4 linked regions of the Cricetulus griseus genome follow. The protein of the gene in region 2 interacts with the protein of the main gene of each other region in a biochemical or structural test. Links are inferred from orthologs where the notes say so. Each region holds a gene or a part of one and is shown on either strand. Other genes may lie near its edges. The genes, in order: Irf7, Irak1, Peli1 and Irak4.

The links.
Region 1: the proteins of Irak1 (region 2) and Irf7 form a complex in vitro, tested with the Homo sapiens proteins (2 studies listed by BioGRID, with this or other methods). The link is inferred for Cricetulus griseus from reciprocal best matches to the Homo sapiens genes IRAK1 and IRF7.
Region 3: of the proteins of Irak1 (region 2) and Peli1, one has a biochemical effect on the other in vitro, tested with the Homo sapiens proteins (5 studies listed by BioGRID and IntAct, with this or other methods). The link is inferred for Cricetulus griseus from reciprocal best matches to the Homo sapiens genes IRAK1 and PELI1.
Region 4: of the proteins of Irak1 (region 2) and Irak4, one has a biochemical effect on the other in vitro, tested with the Homo sapiens proteins (2 studies listed by BioGRID). The link is inferred for Cricetulus griseus from reciprocal best matches to the Homo sapiens genes IRAK1 and IRAK4.

The regions. Positions count from the first base shown.
Region 1 is NC_048596.1:59,919,198-59,924,224, forward strand, and holds the start of Irf7 (interferon regulatory factor 7), read left to right. Parts: upstream 1-1,711; 5' UTR 1,712-1,827; intron 1,828-2,178; 5' UTR 2,179-2,558; coding exon 2,559-2,572; intron 2,573-2,656; coding exon 2,657-2,819; intron 2,820-2,906; coding exon 2,907-3,114; intron 3,115-3,408; coding exon 3,409-3,467; intron 3,468-3,541; coding exon 3,542-3,704; intron 3,705-3,883; coding exon 3,884-3,979; intron 3,980-4,205; coding exon 4,206-4,595; intron 4,596-4,679; coding exon 4,680-4,798; intron 4,799-4,869; coding exon 4,870-5,019; 3' UTR 5,020-5,027.
Region 2 is NC_048604.1:1,719,535-1,724,419, forward strand, and holds the start of Irak1 (interleukin-1 receptor-associated kinase 1), read left to right. Parts: upstream 1-1,435; coding exon 1,436-1,475; intron 1,476-2,045; coding exon 2,046-2,144; intron 2,145-2,205; coding exon 2,206-2,544; intron 2,545-2,620; coding exon 2,621-2,788; intron 2,789-3,276; coding exon 3,277-3,408; intron 3,409-3,521; coding exon 3,522-3,625; intron 3,626-3,775; coding exon 3,776-3,964; intron 3,965-4,302; coding exon 4,303-4,367; intron 4,368-4,752; coding exon 4,753-4,867; intron 4,868-4,885.
Region 3 is NW_023276807.1:85,381,692-85,384,768, forward strand, and holds part of Peli1 (E3 ubiquitin-protein ligase pellino homolog 1), read right to left. Parts: intron 1,966-3,077; coding exon 1,768-1,965; intron 1,683-1,767; coding exon 1,494-1,682; intron 927-1,493; coding exon 360-926; 3' UTR 1-359. UniProt on the Homo sapiens protein: E3 ubiquitin ligase catalyzing the covalent attachment of ubiquitin moieties onto substrate proteins. Involved in the TLR and IL-1 signaling pathways via interaction with the complex containing IRAK kinases and TRAF6.
Region 4 is NC_048595.1:391,050,659-391,055,053, reverse strand, and holds the end of Irak4 (interleukin-1 receptor-associated kinase 4), read right to left. Parts: intron 3,814-4,395; coding exon 3,751-3,813; intron 1,423-3,750; coding exon 1,264-1,422; intron 1,158-1,263; coding exon 1,125-1,157; 3' UTR 313-1,124; downstream 1-312.

The sequences.
Region 1 (5,027 bases), on a different chromosome or scaffold from region 2:
AGCTTCCCTTGAGCGAAGTGAAAGAAACAGAACCGCCCACGCCACATACACGTTCATTTGGGAGAGGGTGGTCTCTGGGACCTTCCTGAGGGTCACAACCTGGTTCAAAAGTCTGGCACATGCATTTAAAGTCAGCATTCGGGTAGCAGAGGCAGGGGGATCTCTGTGAACTTGAGGCCAGCCGGGTCTACAAGAGTGAGTTCCAGGGCAGTCAAGGCTTTGTAGAGAAAACCTTTCTCAAAAAAACAAAACGAACCCAAACCAATAAAAAGGCTGTTCAGGCAATGAACAATGCACTCTGCCCGACACAGAAACTTCGCCTATGAGAAACAGGGGCCTGCAGGTCATGTCAGTAGACGGAGGTTACACACGGCTCTCTGGGGCTGTTTGGGGGGGGGGGTAACATCATAATCTGGGTTCTTCCAGCAGAGCAGTCATGACATATTTCCTAATGAAAAATCAACCCGAATATCTTTCCAGAAGTTTCTATTTCTTAACAGTATTTGAATATTTAAAAAAAATGACAGCTTTATCCGTTTATACAATGTATTTTTTGGTTTCATTTAAACTGGTGGTTTTCATGGCCCATTTCCTTCTCTCAGCGCCCCCCCCCTGCCGCCCCGTTGGAAACCTTCTCAACAAGTCTCCCCCTACTCTCATCTTTTCTGAGCAGCCCTCTGAGTTTAATTACTTTCTCCATCCAGCTAGAACAAGGACAAATTACCACCGGATAAACGACACCCCCTACCTTAAAGGTTGCCACTAGTGGGGGAGGGGCCTGGGCCCATCCCATATCCATGATGAACTGTTAATGAGACCAATCTTATGGAGGTCCTGTGTGGATAGCTGCAGTGAGCTCATGACAGCAATGGCTATGTCATGCTCAGAAGACATCTCCTTTTGCACATCTCTCCATCCTCTGGCCCTTTCTACCCTCTTTTGGGAGATGCCTTGGAGGGGGTGGTAGAGATGTCTCCTTCGGGATGAACACTCCACCATCACTTATTCTCTGCTCTTGGGCCAGTTACAGGATTCTGCTCATTGCAATTAGAAGCTTCTGTAATGAAGGCTGGATGCAACACTAATCTGTAGTTATATTTTACATTTTGAGACAGGATCTTACTCTTTAACCCAGAAGGATTGGTCCTGAGATGGTATTACAAGTATCGGCTTTGGAATATTCTTCTTTTGTGTGTGTGTGTGTGTGTGTGTGTGTGTGTGTGTGTGTGTGTGTGTGTGTGTTTGGTTTTTTGAGACAGGGTATCACTGTGTAGCTTTGTAGAACAAGCTGTTCTCGAACTCAGAGATTCCGCCTGCCTCTGCCTATCAAGTGCTGGAATTAAAGGCGTGCGCCACCACCCGCTGAAATATTCTTACTTGTATCATTCTCAATGTGAAGCCGCTCTTTAGACTACACTTCCCAATACTTTACTGAGAGTTAAACAAAACAAAAGCTGCTGACTTTGTTTGAGATACCCCGCCTTCTCCTGCCGTGTTTTCCTGAGGAGGTTTAGAGGGAAAGACTTTTCCCACTCTCCCACCTGGGCAGCCAGGCGGGTAGACTAGGCTGCCACTCCTCCCACTGAACCTCCGAGGCTTGGCGGTGCTGTCCAAAGCAGGGTCAGCCTTTCTCACTGAATCTATGAAGGACTTGGGCGACTGTGATTCTGAGAGTGGAGTGCCCCCGGCACGTGATACCCCAATGGCGTCAGGAGCCCTTAGGCCACACCCAGCTGCACTCCGCCCCGCCCCTGACCCGGGTCCTATAAAAGTACTGGCCGCGTCCTTCTCACTGAGATAAAACCGTCCCGGCGGCTCCGGCACCAGGTATGCGGGACCCTTAGCCCACGCAGGGAGGGAGCGAGCTTGTGCCACAGGAGGGGGCATTCTTGTCCTCTCCACGGAGTAGGGAACGATCGAGGAAGGGAAGTGTAGAGGATCAGGGACACAGGAGGGCAGAGGGCCCGGCGGGATCTGCCATCAGAAGATCTGCAGGTGGGGTTGGGATCTGTATAAGGATAGGGTGGAGGTCGAGGACTGCGGCACCCGTAGCCATTGAGACACAGGGAAGCCCGCGGCTGCCCGAGAGCTGTTCGGGCTATTTAGGTTTCATTTTCCCGGGATGCAGTTTCGCTTTACTCGCTTGGGCCCGCCCCTTTTTCCATCCTGTCTTTGCAGGGTCCAGCCTGCGACAGCTGATCCAGGCTTGGACGCTGGATCAACACCTGTGACTTCACGTGTGCGTTCCCGCTACATCTGTAGTCACATCTATAGCCACCCTGGCAAGAGGAATCCACACTTAGGTTTGGAACCTAGGTGGCTACAAGTTCTCAAACCTCATCTGTGACCCTCAGTACCCTACACCTGGGTCACATTTGTGACACTTAAATTTCCACCTGAGACCAACAAACATAATCACATTTGTGACACTGGGCCACACTATCTGTGGCTACACCCTGAAACTTTAGTGACACCCAAGGGACTCTTACCTCCTGATTGCTCCAGTGACAACAACACATCACAGAGTAGGACCTACTCTTGATTCTTCCAAGGGAGCAATGGCCACAGAGAGGTGAGAACATGCCCACCCAGGTTGTGTCAGTTCCTGTATGCCTTGCCCTTGGTCCTGGTCATAGCGTTGCTGCCCTGCTTGCAGGGGGCCCCAGCGCATGCTCTTCGGAGAGTGGCTACTGGGTGAGGTCAGTAGCGGCCAGTATGAGGGCCTTCGGTGGCTGGACGACGCTCACACAGTCTTCCGTGTGCCCTGGAAGCATTTTGGTCGCAGGGATCTGGATGAAGCTGATGCACGTATCTTCAAGGTGGTATCCAATCCAGCCCGCTATACAAATCTGCCGCAACTCCCAGGGAATCCATCCTCAATCCATGTTCTCTGTCCTCTCCTTCAGGCCTGGGCTGTGGCCAGAGGAAGGTGGCCACCTAGTGGAGGTAACCTGCCACCCCCAGAAGCTGAGGCTGCTGAGCGAGCAGGCTGGAAAACCAACTTCCGCTGTGCACTCCACAGCACAGGGCGCTTTATCTTGCATCAAGACAATTCAGGGGACCCTGTTGACCCCCACAAGGTGTATAGACTTAACCCGGAGCTTGGATGCACTGGTAAGGGGTGCCATAAATAGGAATGGGTCAAGGAGGTACATGGACTGTTGTCTTGGTGGCTTCCTGGCTGGATTTGTGGTTTTTAAAACTGGTTGGGTAAAGGTTTGATTGTACTCCCAGTTGCTCTCTTTCTAAGGTGTATGGGGTTGGGGTGCAGCACGTTTCCTCCCGAATCAGAGCCTTGGGCTGAGTAAGCTCAGCCCAAGGGTACAGGGAAGAGAACTTTTGGAACTACTCAAGCATCATAACTAGGTTGCAGGTCAGTCTCAGATCCAAATTCCCCCTCTCCTTCAGAAGGCCCCGCCATGGAAAATAGGGAAGAAGAGACCCTCAGCAATGCCTTACCTACACAGGTACAGTCTAATTGGCTCTTCCTAAGTGGGAGGGATGAACAGCTGCCTACCTACCACTATGCTTTTCCTTACAGGGTGTGTCCTTGGGACCATTCTCTGCAAGAGGAAATGCTGGGCTCCAAACCCCAAGCCCTCTGCTTTCTGGTGATGCTGGGGACCTCTTGCTTCAGGTTCTGCAGTACAGCCTCCTGGATAACCACCTACTGGGATCTGACTCAGTCCCATCACAGGATCCTGGTGAGTGTCGGCAAGAACGGTTACTGAGCTGGGGCTAAACTAGAGAACCCCCACCTGCCCCAGGCTGTATGAGAGTCCTTGGGGACAGGAGGAAAGATAAGGATGCCAGCATGACAGGAGTGGGGAAGCTAGCACACCACGATGGGCAAGATGGACAGGCAGCTTCAATTTGTCCTCAGGCCAGGAGCAGGAACATGCTTCTGAGGATCCTCATGCAACATGGCAGGTGGAAGCTGTCCCCAGCCCGAGGCTTCAACACCCAGCTCTGATAAGCGGTAAGGACTTGTGAACCTGTTGGTGTGGGATAGAGCTGTGGTGCTAGCACAGGTCTTCCCCAGCACACATCTATTACCCTCCACCCCCCCCCCCGCCCCCCCCCCGCAGAGCACTGCATCACTCACTCACCCCTCATGTAACCTCCAGTGGGAGGTGAAAGGGTCCTAGGGGGTGGGACAAAGTGCCCCACCCATACCCACCACTCATAGCTTGGTCTGTACACAGAGCGCAATCTAGGGTACCTGGATGTGACCATCATGTACAAGGGCCGCACAGTGCTACAGGCAATGGTGGGGCACCCCAGGTGCGTGTTCCTGTACAGCCCCATGAGCTCAGCGATAAGAACCTCAGAGCCCCAGCCAGTGATTTTTCCCAGCCCTGCTGAGCTCCCGGATCAGAAGCAGCTGCATTACACAGAAACACTTCTACAGCATGTGTCTCCAGGCCTTCAGCTGGAGGTGCAGGGGCTGTCACTGTGGGCCCTGCGCATGGGCAAGTGCAAGGTGTACTGGGAGGTGGGCAGCCCCATGGGCTCCACCAGTTCCTCCACTCCAGCCCAGCTCTTGGAGCGCAACTGCCCTACCCCAATCTTCAACTTCAGCACTTTCTTCCAAGGTCAGTGAGGTGCCTGTTAGGGGTGCTGTCCTTGTGGGTCCCTGGGCCTTCTCTTAACTGCTCACCAGAGATACCTCCTAATAGAAGTGGAAGAGTTTCAGGCCCGGAGGCGACAAGGATCACCACACTACACCATCTACCTGGGTTTTGGGCAAGACTTGTCAGCAGGGAGGCCCAAGGAGAAGAGCCTGATCCTGGTCAAGGTAGAGTCTGGGTGGGCAAGTACAGGTGGGGGTGAGCTGCTGGGTGTGGCCCTAACATGTTCTTCCCACAGTTGGAGCCATGGCTATGCAAAGCATACCTGGAAAGAGTGCAGCGTGAGGGTGTGTCCTCCCTGGACAGCAGCAGTCTCGGCCTGTGCCTGTCTAGCACCAACAGTCTCTACGACGACATTGAGCACTTCCTCATGGAGCTGGGTCAGTGAGCCTAGCC
Region 2 (4,885 bases):
AAAGGGTTGAAGATTCAACATGTAGACATGGAACATCTGCTATACCAGATACTGATAGTTCCTAGTACATTAAAAAGAACCAAATCCCTTCCCCTAGAGCTTAGTATATGCACACAATAATTTTGAATAGTGGAGTTAGTGCATCTCAATAATGACTGACCCATGAGAAACTACTGGAGACTCAGAATATGGTTGGCCTCTTGGGTTGTTTTGTTTCTTTGGTAAGGTCCAACTTCTAGTCCAGGCTGGAGTGGAACCGAGTGTATAGGATGATCTGCCTCAGCCTCCCAAGTGATGGAATTACAGGTGTGAGCCACCATGCCCAGCTTTGTTTTATTAATAACAAGGTCTCACTATGTAACTTTGGCTGGCCTGGAACTATTATGCATAGTAAACCAAACTGACCTTGAACTTTCAGTGATCTTCCTGCCTCTGCCTATGGAGGGCTGGGATTACAACCATGCACTACCACACCTAGTTTGACCTCATCTTAAGAGCGGCCAAAATGGCTGTGGTTTCAGAGAAGAGACCACTGTAGGAGCCAGCCATGTGCCTTGTGTAGACTTTTCTGGACACAAGTTTCTTACAGGACAGGCTAGTGAGAGGGAACCCTTTCCAGTTAGGATTGATAGACAAGAGGGTCTGTTGGAGAAACTGTAGTTAGAAGAAAGCTATTGCTTTATAAGTATGCTTTCAGCTGGAGAAACAAGAAAGGCCAACTTGCTACCCGTGGCTCTTCCTCAGGCAGTGGGAAGTTAGAAAAGTTCAGAGGTATGGAACTCCAGCAAGCTCAAGATGTGCCCAAGAGAAGAGTTAGATGGGTTTTGGGATGCTTCCCCCACAGCTTTTTTTTTTGGGGGGGTGAGGTTTCAAAACAGGGTTTCTCTGTGTAGCCTTGGCTGTTCTGGAACTCACAGAGATCCACCTGCCTATATCCCAAGTGCTGTGACTAAAGGCGTGTGTCACCACTGCCTGGCTCCCCACAGCTTTTTATGCTCAGTCTTGTCAAGAAGGGCTATAGCAGGGGTATATGCAAATAACTTCAGAGACAGAATTAGAAGTGCTTTTTAGGGTATCTAAAAAGGGTTTTTTTGGGGGGTGGTCTTGGTCTTTTTGAGGCAGGGTTTCACTTTGTATCCCTGGCTAACCTGGAACTCACTATTTAGACCAAGCTAACCTCAAATTCAGAGATCCACCACCTGCCTTTGTTTTCCAATTGCTGGGATTAAAGGTATGCACCACCAAGCCCAACATCATGGAGTTGTTAATGGCTTAAGGCTATTATTGTATATAAATTCAGGTGGGTGGGCAGAAGCTGGCCATGCCATCTGCCAAACAGCCATATAGAGCTGGGACTCTATGGGAGGGCTTTGGGAATTTTGGGAAGGTCTTCTGTAAGAAACTGATTTGGTGATCTGTGCCCAAGGAAGCCCACATGAACAGTGAGCCCTATCAGAGTCATCAAGTTCATGCAGGTAAGTGGTATTGGGTAATGCTATGAGTAGTGGACTCATGGGAAGAGGACTTCAGGGTGTCACTGACAACTGCTCTAGAAAAGAATAGGGAAAGCTGCTGGACTCTGGTGTCCTCATAAGAAGTGCAAACTAAGCCAAAAGTGACAGAAAAGGGAAAGGGATGGCAAGAACTGGACATTATGCACACGGGGACAGAGCAAGGCCCTTTTAAGAGACATGTGTTGGCTGGCAAGCTAGCGAGGAGCCTGCACGGGCAGATACTGTGAAGCTCTTAACATTTGTTGCCCAGCTGCTTGCTGGCGGGTTCCTGGAGGCAGGGTGGGGTGGGAGGGTAGGCGGTGGCGTGGTGTGCAATCTTCCAGACCATTCTCTGGGCATCCGTCCTTACTACCAGATGATTAGAGTCAGCCGTTTTGTGACCCACATTTGACCCTGTCCTACCAACATCTCAGCCGACTCTGCACTGCCTTCCAAATAAAGCTGAAAGGAGCCTCTCGGTGAGTTTTCACCAGGCTTTACATAAATCGCCTTTGTGGATCATCATGTTTTTCCTTTGCCCTTTGTCTCCAGAACTGGAAATCGTTCTTCATCCTGTTCAGTCCTATTCAGACGGCTCCCACTGCTGGAAGCCCACCCTCCGTGTAGGATCACAATCCTTGGTTCTTCGGCGTGAGGGGGGAGACACCCTGCAGCCTAGTAGAGCGCCTTTCCTAGATTGAGGGTGGCGCAGGACGCCCCCGTGTGGCCGAAGGCCGCGGAAGGCAAGATGGCGGCGGTCCTGAGCACCGCCTCTTCCGCCCTGCTGGGCGTCGCACGAGGCCGGCTAGAAGGGAAGTGAGTCAGTGTCCACGGACCCGGCCGGCTCAGGCCCCGCCCCGCCGAGGCCCCGTGAGGCCCCGGCCCGGCGGCGGCGGCGGCGGCGGCAGCGGCGGCCATGGCCGGGGGCCGGGCCCCGGGGAACCTTCGGTTCCTGGCGCCCAGCACTTCTTGTACGAGGTGCCACCCTGGGTTATGTGCCGCTTCTACAAAGTGATGGACGCCCTGGAGCCCGCCGACTGGTGCCAGTTCGGTGGGTGACGGCAGGCCGGCGTGGGGCAGGGGACCCGGGCTTCTGCTGCTAAAGCTTGACGTTCCCCGCCCCACAGCGGCCTTGATTGTACGCGACCAGACAGAACTGAGGCTGTGTGAGCGCGCCGAGCAGCGCACAGCCAGCGTCCTGTGGCCCTGGATCAACCGCAACGCGCGCGTGGCTGACCTCGTTCACATCCTCACGCACCTACAGCTGCTGCGTGCACGGGACATCATCACAGCCTGTGAGCGAGCGTGGCCCCAGGGACCCTAGGGATGGGAATTCACTGGAGGTGACGGGAACAGTCTCTCGAGATGGGACCATATGGGAACCCCTCCCTACACACACACACACACACACACACCCATATGGGAACATGGGAACCCCTCCCTACACACACACACACACACAGACACACACACACACACCCATATGGGAACCCCTCCCTACACACACACACACACACACACACACACACAAACCCATATGGGAACATGGGAACCCCTCCCTACACACACACACACACACACACACACACACACACACACACACACACACAGGAACATGGGAACCCCTCCCTACACACACACACACACACACACACACACACACACACACACACACGGGAACCCCTCCCTACACACACACACACACACACACACACACACACACAAAGAGAGAGTCAGAGACAGACCTGAGTCACAACCCTCCTTTCCTTCCTTGTTATCACAGGGCACCCTCCTGCCCCTGTTCTGCCCCCAAGCACTGCTGCTCCACGACCCAGCAGCATCTCTGCAGGCTCCCAGGCCGAGGTCTGGAGCCCAGAGAAACTGCAGTCCTCTGCCTCCACCTTCCTCTCCCCAGGTAAAAAGAAAATGGGTGTTGGGTTTGATAGGCCTGAGGAAAAGGCCACCATGACTATTGACATGGCTGTAGACTGCTGCTGGTCTCTGCCTCTCACTAGCATCTTTATGAAGCTTTTCCAGGCTCCCAGACCTATTCTGAGGCAGAGCTCCTTCCAGTTCCAATCCTGGCTTCCCTCAGGCCACCACTGCGATCTTCAGCCCCTTCCTTTGACAAGGTAAGTGTTCTTTAACCCCCAGGGAAAATTCCAGACAAGGAGGAAGAAACTCAGCCTTTGGTGAACCCACAACAGCAAGCCAGGGACTTTGCAGCCAGGATCAAAGGGAATAGGCAGGATCCTCACCTGATCCTTGGTCTCTTCCAACAGCCAAGCCCAGGGAGCCCAGAGTCTGGCCTCCAAAGGACACATACCTCCCCATTTTGCTGGCCCCTCTGTGAGATTTCCCAAGGCACCTGCAACTTCTCTGAAGAGCTGAGGATTGGAGAGGGTGGTTTTGGGTGTGTGTACCGGGCAGTAATGAGAAATACCACATATGCTGTGAAGAGACTGAAGGAGGTAGGTATAACAGTAGGGTAGTCACCTGGAAGACACAAAAGGGAAAGGAATGGCAAAAATGACATTATGCACATGGGGACAGAACAAGGCCCTATTAAGAGACATAAATGTGGAGGCAGGGGACTGTACTCAGTTCGTATTTGTCCAGTTCCTCCCTCCATCAGCCCTCACTTCTTTAGTCCCCTGCCTCCAGCCTCCCCAAGCAATTCCTTCAGTCCTCTGATTCCAGTACAGGGACCCCCAAACCTTCCATTGTTATGGGCCTGGAAACAGCTGGCAAGCTTGGCTCATGCTGCCTACTTTCCCCGCCTCTTACCCCACCATGTCTGGGGCTGCAGGAGGCTGACCTAGAGTGGACTGTGGTGAAACAGAGCTTCCTAACAGAGGTGGAGCAGCTGTCAAGGTGAGCCTTGGGGGTCCTCCTGTCTGGGGGCACAAGGAGAGAACCACACAAGGGCCTCATCAGTCTCTAGAACTGCACAGCACAAGACCTGGCTCCCTTGGGCCCTCAAGGCCTTGCCAGACCCAGGTGAGGGAACATCAAAGGCTGTTTATCCAGCCTAGCCTGATGAAAAGTAGTGGGGCCCAGAGAACTAAAGAACATGGACTGTGCCCAACGGTGGCACACGCCATTAATGCTAGCACTCGGGAGGCAGAGGCAGGTGGATCTCTGTGAGTTCAAGGCCAGCCTGGTCTACAGAGAGTTCTAGGATGGCCAGGGCTGTCACACAGAGAAACCCTTTCTTGAAAACAACAACAAAGTACTCAGACTACACTCTTTGTAACAGGTTTCGTCACCCAAATATTGTGGATTTTGCTGGCTACTGTGCAGAAAGTGGCTTCTACTGCCTTGTTTATGGCTTCCTGCCCAATGGCTCCTTGGAGGATCGACTCCATCTTCAGGTAGTTCCAGCTGGTCTC
Region 3 (3,077 bases), on a different chromosome or scaffold from region 2:
CAATGTTTGCAACAAATTGTAAACTAACGTAGTTTGAACCAACAAACCCTCAGTTATACAGAACAACTCAACACTGAGTATGGGTGGTGATTCAAAACACTAAAACGAAGGCATCAAATTAGACTATGTCTTTTTCTCCTCAAAATATATTTTCAAAACTCAGAATTCAGAAGTCTGGAACTTTCAAAATTTCCTTTGCTTGATTTTCTCAGATTTTTTTCAGAAATTGCTATTATAAATATTTAAAAAATTCTTCATCTTAATGCAATGACCAGAGCAGAGAAACTTACGTGGACAACTGGTTGGAATACCCAACTCACTTAGCTTATAAACTTATAATGCAGTCCTAGAGACAGCTGTTAGTCTAGAGGTCCTTGGAAAATAAGTCTGATATAGCCTTGTTCACCAGCCAACTGATGTGCACAAAAGGGACAGGCTGCGTGAAAAGTGTGAGTACCATGAGGAAGTGGGATCTGTGACCAATAGGCCGTTGTCTTTTCTGAACACACGTGCCCACAAGGGCTAAAGGCATGGGTGGGAGGGCCGGCGTCCACATAAAATCCAGCTTCACATCCAAGCCACAGAGGGACATAGGGACCAACAGACCTACACATAGGACATTCACGATCTTTTCCGTCACGTTCTTCTTTGTTTCCCCAGTTATGATAACCATGAACATGGCCGCAGTTTAGATATACCCACGGTTGTTTTTCATCTACAACGTCTTTCCTCTTCATACTGGGAAAGGCTAGTGTGTTGAACCCTACAGGGCACTGAGGTCGGGCTGCATTGATTTCCTGTCTTAAAGCTTCTAAGTGCTTCACAGTAGGAGTGTGGGAAAGGCCTTCCGCAGTACGCCAAAGCAAGGTTGCACCACAAAGGTCAATTAAGGAGCCATCTTGTAGCTGATTGGTTTCGATTTCCACCTGAAGGAGAAAAGAATCAAAACCGTATTTACCATTGTGTTTACACTAGGTCTTCAGTGAGTCCTAATAAGACAGAGAACCTTCCAGGATTACCTGCTAGACTTAAGGAAGTTTCTATTTGTGTGTAATGTGGAAGTAGAAATTTTAGAAGTTTGAAAAATGCTAAATTTGAAAATCAACAATAACACATTGAATAGCAACTTCTGTCTTTCAAGCCAAAAGACAACTTATGATTTAATTATCTGGCTAATCAACAAACTTAGTTATTTTTAATTAGTTAAGTATAGTCAAAGATATGTACAAAAAAATAGATGCTTAACCTTTTCTAGCTGAAACAAACACCATCCTCTAGAATTAGTGTTTGGAGGTCAGTGTTTGATGGTCTTAGTTTTTGTGTGTCAGGAATATGTCTAAGAGCTGCAAAAACCAATCAACTGACAATCTCTCTCTCTCTCTCTCTCTCTCTCTCTCTCTCTCTCTCTCTCTCTCTCTACTTCTCTCTCTCTCTCTCTCCAGTTCAACTTACCCTATGTTTATTGTTGTAAAAAGAAGCTACACAGTACTTACCATCTTTCCTCTCTGTTGAGCTGATCTGGTTTCTCGAAGACTGAACACATTCCCACAAACTGATATTTCTCTCCATATTCCAGGCTTGGAGTCTTCTGTGAACCCATTTCGTGGATGCATCACAAGAACACCATTAGTGGTCAAGCCATCCATCTGCCCATCAGATGTCTTCCATTTGGCAGCTTTTTCCTATAAAAATAGTGAGTTTCTACTTATGTGCAATTTGGAAATAGAAATTGTATAAAAGAATACATTAGGAAAAAAGGCTTTTTACCCCAAGAAAGATGTTTTTTGATGAATCAAATCCTGCAGCATAAATCCGAGCTGTAAAGGGGGGATTGCGCTCACATATGATCCTACAGGCAAATCTTGAGATAGTGCTTTGTACTGACTGTGTGTCAGAATTACTCTGACTTCCAGGAACTGTGTCAGTTACTACAAAATCAATAGGACTTTCAGTTGACCGACCAATCTAAAGGGGAAAAAAAGAACATATGACTTCATTCAAAGACCACAGTAGAATCCATTAAGAAAGAGATACGGTAAAAGTATTAGGCCTCTGAAATTTCTAAATCTCACACTTAACAATACTTAACTATCTCCATCTACACCTTTGAAACCTAATCTGTCACACTGATACAGCAGTCACTTGGAGCATAGAATTAAGTGGGAACTACAATGGAATTTCCAAGATCCTTAGGGAATAAAGACTCTAATGTGATGAGGTTCTTAGATGGCCTTAGGCTTTAACCCTTTTAAGGTAGAAATATATCTACCATATACTACCCCACCTTAACAGAATACACTGAAGGTGAGTAAATCTTTTATGACAACTCTAGAACATCATTGAAATAAAGCTAACCTGCTGCTGTGTTCCCAAGCTGTACACAAACACTGATCCTCACTGATGGCTGTAGATACAGCCTTGCTCTGAGTCTCTGAAACAGATCTCCACCTCTTTGCATTAGGTTATTAGCAGCTGTCAGTTTTTGCTTTTGGTTGTGCTTGTTTTTAGCAACAAGCCTCTCCTCCAACCACTTACTCTGATAAGGATTGAGACATCAAATAACTAAACTTCAAAGAACAGTACTTCAAAGGTACTTTGTTCCAGGGTCCCCAAGGAAGCACAGAAAAAGAATTCTCTATGTAGGCTGTAGGATTTGTCATACACCTTGGTATTTTTTTTTCATTTCTGAGCAGTAAGGTTTCTAGCTGGAGTCCTTGGTGAGGCAGGTATCAGGGTAAACTATCTTTAAAGTACTAGCTAGTAAGAAAGTTTCTTGCATCTTGAAAGTTGAAGGGGGAAAAAAGAAATGAAACAGACGACAAAAGTGACATGTGTCACTGGTTTTAGTGGAAACGTTTAGAAATCATAGGTTCTATAACATATTAATGATGGCACATAGAAAATATCAACTCTCTACAAACAGGATTCCTTTGGGGGGGGATGTCTAGCTATATAGTCCAAGATGGCCTAGAATTCTACCTCCTTCTGCCTCAGTTTAACCAAGTAGCTGGAAACACAACTTTGTGCCTCGGTGCATGGTTTTTACTTTTCCAGAGGAGACAGAAGTGAACCCAAGG
Region 4 (4,395 bases), on a different chromosome or scaffold from region 2:
TTACAGCTGGATCTCATGGAGGCATTTCCTCAACTGAGGATCCTTCCTCTCTGATGACACTAGCTTGTGTCAAGTTGACACACAAAACCACCCAGTAGAGCAAGAGAGCCTGCCATTACTGTCACATGGGAAAGGATGACATCAGGATGGCCCCCCTTGGGTGCTCTACCCTCAGATAGCTTAGCTCCAGTTGCTGTCATATTGCCCACAGCAATACAAGTAACACCTCTAAGCTCATCATTGGTTCTACATTGCCCCACATAAAAGTACCAACAGTGTGAATTTTTCTTAGGAGAGACAAGTGAACATCTATTCATTCAAATTAGGACACCAATGACAGACTGAACAATTAAGTCCACCCCTGTCTACCTTGATGACCCAATGAGTTTAATTAGGATTACAGGAACAGTGTTGGGGAATACTTACAGAAGTTTAGGAAGAGTTATTTATAGGACCACAGAGTTCATTAACAACAACAACAAAAAAGCCAAAAACTGAGGGCTTAGGGTAGCTAAGAGCTGGACCAGAGCTTTACAGGAGATTAGTGGAACCTGCTGAGTTCAAACCAGAGTCTCTGGCTGGATGGTGGTGGCACGGGGCTTTAATTCTAGTCCTCTGGGAGGCAGAGGCAGAGGCAGAGTTGAAGGCCAGCCTAGTCTCCAGAGAAAGAGAGTTCCAGGACGTCTAGGGCTACACAGAAACCAACAACAACAACAAACCCCTAAAACTCTACAGTGGAGTGCTGTTTTCCTGAATCTTGTAGTTGCTGTAGTTTGGTGATGTTGCCATGGAAACGAGCTCCATACAAAGTAGGTGGGCCAAGTGGTGCCACACTACTCTCACTTTTGCAGTGTGTGGACACATCCATTAATTCGCCAGTATACACTGTGCCACGCTGCCTTGTTAAAGATAAAGAAATTTAAGAAACCAAACCAAGCAAAAAACAGGCTGATGATGTAGCTCAGTGACGAAGTGCTTGTTCAGTCTCCATGATCACAAGAAGTAAAAATAAAAGGGGGGTATGTGAGGAGGGAAGTGCTTATAGCGCTGTGTGTGTCCCTGTATGTACATATACATACATACATACATATATACATATATATATGAAGTCTATTTCATTAGTTTTAAGCAGATATCTCTTGTAGCAGCTGTTGAACCTTTCAAAAAGAAAGAACAAAAGAACATTACACCGATGCCTTGAAATGTATACTTAGTAAAGGGTAACGACCCCTCCAGGTGTGTGTATGGATATAAAAGTAGTACCTTCGTAATGTCTGGCCTCTTATTTTTCTTTTCATGCAGACACTGACTAGCTGCAGCATACATCGCTTCAACAGAAGCAGGGTCAGTATCATTCATCTTCTCATCGGTGTAATCTTCAATCGTCTTCTCTTCATCTTCAATCTCGTCTTTAATATCCAGCTATAAAATGGGCATTAGACCTTGGTTAAAAGCTTCAATACGAAAGAAATCAGAGTATAAATTTAAATTACTTAAATTCGTCTATTTTTGAAATGACCTGAACTCTTTCCTTACCATTTTTTATAACCTCCTTAGGACTTGAGGCCACACCGGACAAATGGTAGATAAGGAAATTACACACATGCACACATTACTGATTTACTACTCTTATTCCCATTTACTCCTACCCATATGCTTTATAATCCTTGTCTTTCTGTGATGAGCTAGCTGCTCGAATTTCTGTTGCAGCATTCGCCAGTTCAGAGTCATCAGCTTCGTGATCATTTTTGAAAATGCAATTTCACCTTCTGGACCCAGACACCATGTCCTTACCCACAGGAACTCAGGCTGGTAAATCAAAGAGAAAGGAGGACTGGGGGATGAATGAGGATGAGATGGTGCCTCGGGCTCAACGGTCTGTTGAGTGGTGGCCCCAGAAATGTGAGTATGTATGTCTACGTCCTGGCTCCTGGTGTCTGTAAATGTGACCTCATGTGGAAAAATGATTTTTGAAGATATCTGAAGTGAGAGGTTGTCTTGGGTGCAGTGGTCTGGATGGAATGTTCACCATGGGCTCCTTTGGTTTTCTATTGGTGGTGCTGTTTGGGTCGGCTTGGGAGCTGTGGCCTTGCTGGAGGAAGTGTGTCACTGGCAGCACTTTACATGCTCAATATCTCCCTGGCCTCCGAATTTCTAATGTCTATGTTTCTAATCCAACCCCACCCTAAACTTTGTCTGTGTCCATTTACCAACAGCTCAAATACGGCAACTCCATCTCAGGCTTCTCTCTTGACCTCCCATAACTGCTAGGACAGAGAACTTTATATTTCTGGTTAACATAAAATTTTACCTTTTGATTTGCCATTATAAAAATCTGAATACCATTAGGATATTCTCACAAATATCTTCCAATGTAAATATAGTACATATGCTATTTTAATAACTGCATTTCCAACAGACCATGGACATTTTTGTTTTGTGGCGGACATTTGTAACAATCTCACATACTACAGATTACTCAAATTAGTATTGGCACTAAGATTTTTGTTGTCCTTCTGAAGTCCTATTTTAATTATCTCTCTCTCTGTGTGCGTGTGCGTGTGCGTGTGTGTATGTTGGTATGTGTACAACTATGCAAGTGTCTGTGGAGATCAGAGGCCTCAGATCTGGAGCTGGGGTTACAGGCGGTAAGACACCTAACATGGGCCAGGTGGTGGTGGCGCATACCTTTAATCCCAGGGCTTGGGAGACAGAGGCAGGCGGGTCTCTGTGAATTTGAGACCAGCCTGGTCTACAAGAGCTAGTTCCAGGACAGCCTCCAAAGCCACAGAGAAACCCTGTCTCAAAACAAACAAAAAAGACACCTAACATGGGTGCTGGAAACTAAACTTGGGCCTTTAGAAAAGCAGTATGAGCTCTTGACTGCTGCCCCAACCATTTCTCCAGTCCTGGTATCATGACTGAACAAGCAAGTTACACCTTCTGATTCTCTGTTCCTAACTCTGGGATGTGACCTAGTATGTATCTATTATCTGAATGTTCGTACTGTTTTGCTCTATTAGGGCATATGAATAAATTTGGATAAAGGGAGTATAGTTGCTAATTTTGAGAAACACTTACGAAAGACATATATATGTATATATATTTTTAGAGACATATATACAAAGACACACATATATGTTTTTATGTGGATGAGTATCACATATATATTTTATGCATATATACATAAAGGTATATGTAAAGACATATGTATACATATATTAAAGTATATGGCATAATTTATCAAAAGTTCAGTTATCATTTAACTCATCTACTTATAAACTGTGAATCAAATGTTCAATATAAAAATTAGAAGGGTAGGAATGACAGTACAGGAGGGAAGTGCTTTAACTTTGTAAGTAAAATGCTCCACGATGAAATAGAGAGCCTTTACTGGCATTTATATTCTTACGGGATGTGAATGAAAACTAAGATTTTTCTTCCCTATGACCTAAAAATGGTCCCACCACCCAGGATCTGTACACTCTGGAGAGTAACAAACCACGGGCAAACTAGCTTTCTTCTCATTTGATACAAAGACATTGGAACAAGGAATATATAAATAATCTTTTCAGGCACACATCACATCTAGCAAGCCCAAGACTGTAAACACATCATGCACTTTTACTACGTCATGACACATAGCCAGACTTATGTCAGAAATGCCATTTCTATAAGCCATATTTACACACATGAATTTAAGATCACAAAGGCAAAAGCGGAAAAGACTGACAAAAATGAATTACTTACTAGTAATTGAGGCTCACGGTTTTCATCCACAGCTGCAAGCCCAGTGATTAGTTCTAATAAAACCTAGGAAGATAAAAGGATCCATTAGCAAAACACTGAAGACATCAATTAGGAATTAAAAAGGAGGGCAGGAGAGATGATGGCTCAGAGGTTAATAGCATTGACTGCTCTTCCAAAGGTCCTGAGTTCAATTCTCAGCAACCACAAGGTGGCTCACACCATTTATAGTAAGACCTGGTGCCCTCTTCTGGCCAGCAGGCATATGTGCAGGCAGAAAGCTATATACATAAGTAAATAAATCTTAAAAAAAAAAAAAAAAAAATTAAAAGGACTATGGACTGAGCCCAGGGACTCGAACACGCTAAACAAGGCTTTCTTTTTGTGCTAACGCTGGTCTGGACATGGATGTTGATGGAACTCTACCTAGTACTTCCTGCATAAACCTACGGCTACAGATACCAAAATGTTATCCTGGACACGCATTCTGGGAACTCGAGGTCCTTTCACTATCACAGGTCCCTCAGGAGAATCCTATTTTCTAGCCAGTAGCCACATTTTTACAACCCTGTTCTTTAATATTATGGTGGGGTAAAGCTGTTTCCATAAATGAAACATATTTGGAAGACTAAGATGAAGATGAGGCCC